Linked DNA regions of Kluyveromyces lactis. The protein of the gene in region 2 binds, or shares a complex with, the protein of the main gene of each other region. Links are inferred from orthologs where the notes say so. Each region holds a gene or a part of one and is shown on either strand. Other genes may lie near its edges.

The links.
Region 1: SWP82 (region 2) and SNF2 share a complex: the UniProt entries of both Saccharomyces cerevisiae proteins name them as parts of the SWI/SNF global transcription activator complex. The link is inferred for Kluyveromyces lactis from reciprocal best matches to the Saccharomyces cerevisiae genes SWP82 and SNF2.
Region 3: SWP82 (region 2) and SNF11 share a complex: the UniProt entries of both Saccharomyces cerevisiae proteins name them as parts of the SWI/SNF global transcription activator complex. The link is inferred for Kluyveromyces lactis from reciprocal best matches to the Saccharomyces cerevisiae genes SWP82 and SNF11.

What each region holds. Positions count from the first base shown.
Region 1 is NC_006038.1:744,861-747,336, reverse strand, and holds the end of SNF2 (SWI/SNF catalytic subunit SNF2), read right to left. Parts: coding exon 528-2,476; downstream 1-527. UniProt on the Saccharomyces cerevisiae protein: Involved in transcriptional activation. Catalytic component of the SWI/SNF complex, an ATP-dependent chromatin-remodeling complex, which is required for the positive and negative regulation of gene expression of a large number of genes.
Region 2 is NC_006040.1:503,247-506,843, forward strand, and holds SWP82 (Swp82p), read right to left. Parts: upstream 2,197-3,597; coding exon 664-2,196; downstream 1-663. Other genes in the region: KLLA0_D05863g (uncharacterized protein), read left to right, coding at 1-573; KLLA0_D05907g (putative short-chain dehydrogenase/reductase), read right to left, coding at 2,580-3,461. UniProt on the Saccharomyces cerevisiae protein: Involved in transcriptional activation. Component of the SWI/SNF complex, an ATP-dependent chromatin remodeling complex, which is required for the positive and negative regulation of gene expression of a large number of genes.
Region 3 is NC_006041.1:899,251-901,265, forward strand, and holds SNF11 (Snf11p), read right to left. Parts: upstream 900-2,015; coding exon 501-899; downstream 1-500. UniProt on the Saccharomyces cerevisiae protein: Involved in transcriptional activation. Component of the SWI/SNF complex, an ATP-dependent chromatin remodeling complex, which is required for the positive and negative regulation of gene expression of a large number of genes.

The DNA.
Region 1 (2,476 bases), on a different chromosome or scaffold from region 2:
AAAAAAATGCTTCCAACCAGAGTCGAACTGATGATCTCCACATTACTAGTGTGGCGCCTTACCAACTTGGCCATAGAAGCTTATTGTTGTCATAAAAAGAAAAAGGAGAAATTTATGCCCTTCCTATTTTATTATGGCATCAGAGACCACAAGTCACGTGTAATGGTCTCCGTTGGCTGTATATCTTCGGCAGTAATAATACACCAGGGACCTCTTGATCTGATTACAAGCAAACAGTAGATTAGGCTCAGTATTCCTTTATATGCTTTGTCATGTGTCGGTTACGCAAAGCCAATGCTAACCACCTATTATATTGGCATGGCCTGTTCCACCAACTGTCTAATATGATTTCTATTCGTTTTAGTTTGAACATTACGAAGATTATCAGCCCTACATGGAAAAGGATTGAAATTTCAAATATCTATTATTATGTTAGGTATGATTACATTTTTAATTAGTGTTTAGTTAGCTATATGTTTTATAGTTTATGTAGTGTAGTCTCCGTGATCTTCTTCCAAAAAAAAACACTATACAGGTGTAGATGGTGGTATCAAGGGTGGAGTTGCAAACTCTTCATCAAATTCACTAAAGTCCACCTCTTCTTGTTCGTTTGTCATTTCTTTCCACTTCGCGATCACTGCATCTTCCAACTCCAATGAGTCCCTAAATATGATTGAATCTTCTGTGTTGTATATTCTAGCGTTGGCAAAAATCAAATGGAAATCTTCGACAACCTGTTTCAAAGAATCATAAACATTCAGATCAATGTGTTTCATGACATTTTCAAATGCGGCAGGATATTTGATCAACAAATAATAGTCTGGATAGAGTCGTTTGGATGGTTTCACTAGGAAAATATCTGAAAGTCTTCTATCATCGGCATTTCTATAGTATACAGCATAGTCGTACAATTCACGAGCTTTTTGACTAATTTCTTGTCTTTCTTTCAAAGTTTTTGTAGCATTATCTGCTGAACGCAGATAGTTTCTGCCATTCTTACGAACGGCAGTTGAAGTTTTCTTCCTACCCTTGCTGGTCTTCTTTGCAGTCTTAATTGAAGTTTTACCGGCAATAACACCAGATGGAGCAGAGTCTCCATTTGATTCTTGCGGATCTAAAACAGGAGTATTTTCCGTTCCTGTAGCTGGACCGTCAAGTTCTTTGTTTGTCTCAAGTTTTGCCCTTTTAGCATTATTTTCAGCGGCTCTCCTTCTCCTTCTCTTTGGGCCAGCGTCACCTTCTTCATCTTCATTTTCACTGACTTCAAATTGCCTTAACCATTGTTCTTCAGATAATTCATCAGAGTAGTGCGCAGTTCTTCTCTCTCTATTACCTCTTCCTCCAACAAACACGTTCTGCTTTTCCTCTTCTGCAAGCTTTGCTTCAATGTCAACATTGTAACATTCAGGAAGCTCTGAGTTCTCCATAAGTCTGTTTGTTATACCGTTTTCCATCTGTGTTCTGATCCTTTGAGCATCCAACTCCTGGAATACTTTTATTTCATTTTCGTTTCTCGCCAAGATTTCATTGAGTTCGTTATCATCCAACTGCTCTTCTTCTTCAATGCCTAACTCACGTCTTTTCTTTTCCTCTTCCTCAGCTTCTAGTAACGATCTCAATAATGCCTCTTGTTCTTCAGCTGTTGATTTGTTATCAAACTTACCTGCTTGAATAACTTTTCCGTCAATGTCCAATTTGGCATGCGCCTTATCAAGAATTGCTTCTTCCACTGAATTGTCTGTAATTAATCTAAGAATACGCACTTCATTCTTTTGACCGATTCTATGAGCTCTGTCTTGGGCCTGTAAATCCTGGTGAGGATTCCAATCAGTATCAAAAATGATAACGGTATCTGCAGTTTGCAAATTTAAACCTAAACCACCAGCTCTTGTAGATAAAAGGAAACAGAAATAATCAGAGTTTGGGGCATTGAAAGTGTTTAATAATGCAGTACGATCATCAGATTTAGTATGACCGTCTAATCTTAAGTATTTCATGTCAAGATATCTCAAGAAATCTTCCATGATATCCATAACTTGCGTCATTTGGAAGAAAATTAGAACTCTATGACCGGTAGCCTTGAACTTTGGTAAAATACGTTCTAGCAGTTCGAATTTACCGGCACTTCTCCAAATGGTATCGTTCGTTTCCCTTGCTGGATTGATTTGATCTTCCACTTCTTCGAATACGAACGGATGATTACAAATCTTCCTGAGTTGCATGATTTGATTGTTAAACCCACGAGAACTAGAGAACTTCTGGTTACTTGAATCATCAAAAATGAATAGCCTACGATGCTTCAACATCTGTTGGTATAATTTGTGTTGTAATGCACTCATCTTACATTTCAAAACCTTTTCTACTTTATCAGGAAGATCTTTTTCAACATCTTTCTTTAAACGACGAAGCAAGAAAGGTCTGAGTACCTTATGTAATCTTCTAATGACCAATAAAGTTTCTTCTTCGCTCAATGCTA
Region 2 (3,597 bases):
GGTCTTACTAAAGAAGTTACAATTCCAAATGTTAACCCTATGGAACAGCCTAGATTGGTAACAAAGATTATCAACAAGGATACTGGTAAAGAAGACGTTGTAGAAACAGATTTCATGAAAATGAAGGGTTTAGCAAATAAGGTGGACAACTACGAACTTTACAAGAAATTGGATAAGATTGAGGGCAAGATATTAGCCAATGACATCAGCGTGATAAACGGTAAATTAATTGGCATCTTGGAAAATCAAGCAGCGCACTTGAGAAAGCTAGAATATCTATCAACTACTTTAGAAGTTATTGTGGCTTCAATGGGTAAAGAAGGTGAAGTAAATACAGAATCCTTCAAGGACCTCTTTGTTATGAATGATAAGTTGGAGCAATTACTTCAGGATCAAGCAAAGATTAGAGAGGCCACCAAACAAAGCATGGAAAATGCTGGAAATGGCGTTTCAGTTGACGAAATCGTCAAGAGACTCTTAATGTGGATTTTGCCTCTAATACTAATCGTTTTAGTTATGGCATACTACACTTTCAAAATTCGTCAAGACATTGTTAAAGTTAAATTGTTATAATGAATTATCCTCTATATATATCTGCAGCTTTATTGCATAGCTTTCTACTAGCAGTATTTAGTTCGATATAGATGAAGTTGCATTATTATTCTAAGGTTTTTCAACATAAGGTGGCCTAAACCCTGACACATTGGAGTATCCCAAAAAATTTGGATTCGGTACTCGCTTAACGGTACGCTTTTCATCTACATTCTTCGTTTCGTTTGGCACAATGCTCACATCAACATGGTTCAAAACTTGCTGTAGATATTGCTCTTTGTAATACGAAAGTTGATCCTCCGTAAGGCCAACAGGTGCACCGGCCTTATACTGCCAAAATTTAGTCCAACGGGTGTTTCTTAACTTTCGGACATGGCCAAGAGCTGTATTCAAATGAACAACATCATGGGATCGTTCTAAATCTTTTATTTGGTTTGGCGTCAATAGTTTTAACCTTGCAGGAAGTCTCGCCTTATTATATATCGGTAACCCTCCAGCACTGAAAGTTGTAGGTAACTCATCATTTGTTGTAACTGGTAGCTGCGTAAATTTCCATCCAGGAATTTGAGCCAACACATCTGTCTCCTCCGGGGGAACATAGTTAGCTTTACGTCCTCTACCAAAGTTATGAGATTCTACCGGGTGGGTGTGCGTTCCAATCGGGGAATCTAGAACATTGTGTTGTTGAGCAGCGGCGAAGGAATTCTTATAGTGGTATTTTGGAATTTTGTAAATAGTACTCAACTCGATTGCTCCATGTATAGTTTGACCCGATATGATTGCAGTTTGCTCACCATGAGCAATATTACTTAAGAACTCTTTACGTGCTTCTAAAGGCGGTAGTTCCGTAATGGTTGAAAACGGGTCTTCGAATTGCGGTTGTGATGTGGACATAACGCCCGCTTGTGCTTGCTTCGATTCAGGAAGCTCAGGTGGACCTAAAGAATGTGCTGTTCTAGTCCTTGGATCGATCGAACATACCATGTCGAGAAGTTTTTGAGAGAGTGCGTATACTCTGTGCTGCGCTTGGAAGCCCTGTTCTTTGGATAGTTGTTCCCAGTAATCATCTATCACTCTTGATCCGGATGCTAGTATAGCAGCTCCAAAGACAAGAAAAGCAGATCTAGCTGTGATATATGTTGCAGCAGTAGCACCTTCAGGTAAAAGTTTATACTGGGTCAAAAATTCGATAATATCATGTTTTGCATTAATTGGGTAAAGGTCTGGATGCTGAGCCAAAAACTCTTGTTGTTCCACATCTAGATTCAAGACTCTAATCAAATCCCGTACTAAGACGTACAAATTTTCCGAATTATTGTTTTCCGCACATGGATAAGTGAAAGTAGGAAACAAGTAATGCCTTTCTCCATGTAACCGTCCTTGTTTATCAACCTTCGTTTCCCCATTTTGATCACCCTTTCCCAAAACATAAGAGTCATTGTTGTCTGATAACCTTTCCTTAATGGTGAACGAAGGTAGTACAAGTTGCTTTGTTGGTGGCTTGTCAAGTCTGCCGGAGAGTAATTCAGGGTTATTGAGTATTGATAATGTGGTTTTCAAAATAAAAAGCTCATGGTTCTTTATGACATATTCTGGCACCGGATTCACCTGAGCAGTGACAGATGAGTTAGTACTGGAGTCCATTTTTCCAGCATGTGAAGATAAACAAATAAACGTATCCTGTTCAACAGCCAGAAAGGTCTCGTGGTGTTCCAAATATAATTAGGATGGATGAAAGTGTCGCAGCTTATACCGTCTATTGAATTCTTTCACGATGTACTTTGAAAGATATGCATATGTTTACGTTTATGTTAATGACAGGCATTCGATAGTTAGATTACATGTTGAAAAGACCCAATTTCAAAACAATGGAAAATACATAAAGATACTGATCACGTGATGACCAGCAACTGACACAGCAAATACCCGACAGTTAGGTTACATACAAACTAACGTATCTAAAATATAGGAATAAAACGGGATTCTTAGATAATAGTGCCGGTGGCTTCAGATGTTGGTAGTGTCATTCATTGAGCCAACTTAAGATTTGCAAGAAGTTCTTCTGAGGCCTTGATATAATTCCTGGCGTAATCATCAGTAAAATCTTTTGATGGAAGGATCGGGTTAGCATTCTTGTCAAACATGGCGCCTGAATGAGTTTCCAATTCTGGGGCAACTAGCAAGGGGCCTAACTTTTCAGCGTATTGCTCTGCAGTCTGATTTGTCATACCTATGAACCATTCTACCACTCTTGACTTCCAAGTGTCTTTACCAAGGTAATTATCTCTAATATTTGTCCTGATGAGCCCCGGATTCAACCCATAAAAATTGACAGTAGCAAACCTATTCTTAAAGTCCAAAACTAGAGCTTCATTACCGGCTACTGTTTTCATATGTGTGGAAATAGCTCCGTAAGATTCTTCTGAATTCAAATCTCTATAATCTCCCATATAGTTATCACCGGGGAAACCCATTACAAATACGCGAGGTTTTTTCTCACCATGTTCCTTCAATCTGGGTACCAAATGATTCATCATCACTAGTCGGCTGATATAACTGACGGCCAAATCTTCTTCTAGACCTTCGCTAGTCTCACGTCTCGCTGGAGGAGCCAAAACTCCCGTAGTGAAGATAAGAAGATCCAACTTTTCAGCAGGTAACAATTCCGCAACTCTGGATGCCTCTGACACCAAACCTAGGTCAGCCTGGATAAATTCAATACCTTCAACATTTTCGTCTCTGAACGTTCTACCAACAACGATGACTTTAGCACCCTTTTGTGCCAACACTCTTGCCAACTCACGGCCAATACCGCCCGTTCCTCCTACGATAGCAACATATTTATTATCTAAATTGAGTTCAATCAATTTTTGAGCCTTCGTATATACAATATCAGGATTGGTCTTCATGGTTGTTTGATGTAAGATTAGTCCGATGCAATTACAATAGATAGTTCCCCCTTGACTCTTGGTAATATTACTGTGCAAGCTGCATATCTGCAATCAACGTTGCACTAAGCTACCTTAAATAGTATCTATATATGAT
Region 3 (2,015 bases), on a different chromosome or scaffold from region 2:
AAATTTAAACACTCATACAATGGAACTATTCCCCCAGTCCAATCGATTGATCTTCTATCTAATATTATAACGATGAGAATACCAATTAGAATCAGTGCTAATCTAAATATACTCACGAAGCACTAGTACGTTTAACGTAATTGACATACTTGTATATATTTATATTTATTTGTCCATATGAGAGGATTTGATAATGGCAATGGCAATGGCAATTGCCATTGTCATATCATGATGGCACGGACGGAAAAAAAATTCAGGAAACTTGAGAATTAAAGGGAATATCGAAGACAGATAAACATCTGGTGATGTCTGTGGAAGCCTATCAAGGACCGCAATCGTTCTATGCTTCATTGCTGCATTGCTGCATACGGTGCTGATACCGGAATGGAGCAAGTATTATTATAGGTAACTACAGAGAGCGTTAAAATGAGAGCGTTTTATCTATATATTATGTATGTACACACAGTGTACACACAATGTACGCACAGTGTTCGTTGAAGCTACCATAATTGGAACATTCTATTCATTAATAGATACATCTTGACCAGCATATCCTGTTGTCTTTCCTGAGCTGAAGCAGTGTTTGAAAGAAATGGGTTTGGAGGAGGGTCCATGATAGGAGGTTTTGCTGCTAGATTTCCTTGATTTATCTGAGATATTGTATGTAAGTTACAGTGTATTCTTTTCGTATATTGGATTAGTATTTGTTCCATTTGTTCTTTGGACAGCGACGCGAGTGTCGGTACCTGTCTGCTTTCGTACATGGTTCTTGTTTCTTGGGATTTTTTGATCAACATCGAGTTGATATGAAGAAGCACTTGTATTTTCCATTGTAGCTTCTGCTTTGGTGAGACTCCTGAGTCTGATTTCAGGTCTATTGCTGGGTTTAGATCTGTCATGCTGATCTAGGGTGGGTGCAGGGTACTTTTCCGTAGTCGTCAGTCAGTCGATCTTTTTATCTTTGAACTTCCTTCACTGTCAAAGTAGTAAGACGAATTAAAACGTGATTTGAATTATTTTCAAGCGGAACGAAAAAACCACTAAGTATCCAGTTCATAATAGCGACTAAAGGCACTCCAAGATCACAAAAATCCCTGGGCTGCCATATCTATGTACACTAGACACTCGTGCTCTATACGGTCACCTATTCATAGGACATAAGTTTCTAAGTTTAAAACACATTCAGTCACGTGTGTAACACGTGACTGATAAAAAAGAAACAGCAAGAGTTTCTCAGCCACTTTGATGACGAATGCTCTTCCTCCCTTACTGCCACCCCTTCAACGCCTCAAAATGCCACCATTACATAACTATAACTATCGATTCACATTATTCCCCCACATTATGAAATCCCAAACAATGTTTTCAGTTACAATAGAAAAAGCTCAGCCAACAAATTCTTAGCCTTAGGCCACAACGAAGGACGCATAAACTGAATTCCTACCTAATTCCATAGCCAGACGAAAAACGTACCATCTCTCAGTTTCTCTCAGTCAAGTTACCGCATATTTTCGTGGGTTTAAGTCACAAGACGGACCAGTTCCCAGCGTAGGAACCTCACCCATTTCTTTTCGGCCCTGCTGGCAGTACGTCCGATCAGAAAATCCACCATAAAACGGTTACCTTTCAACTGGAAACTCTTTATTACCGAAACTGTTCCTTGCCATATTAGTTCTTTTCTTTTCGAATTGCTTTACTAAATCCGCAGCCATCTTAAAATACGTAACTCTCTGCAAAATAAAGTATTAAATATATATACAAATATGTCCATCCATTTTGTTGATAGACGTTAATGCCAACTAGTAAATCTTGTTAATCTTGTGATGTTTGATACTTCATCTAGTCGATAACTTAAGTAGTGGCAAGGTATTAAGAGGAATCCAGGCTTAAGCCACCCGCTGTTTATTCTCTTTGCCTTGTGGTTTTTTTCAGGTTTTTTTCTGGTATTTCTCTTTTCGAATCATTTTGCATATCAAAAGTTTCTCTAAGGTTTCTCAAGGTTCTATCTCATCGTC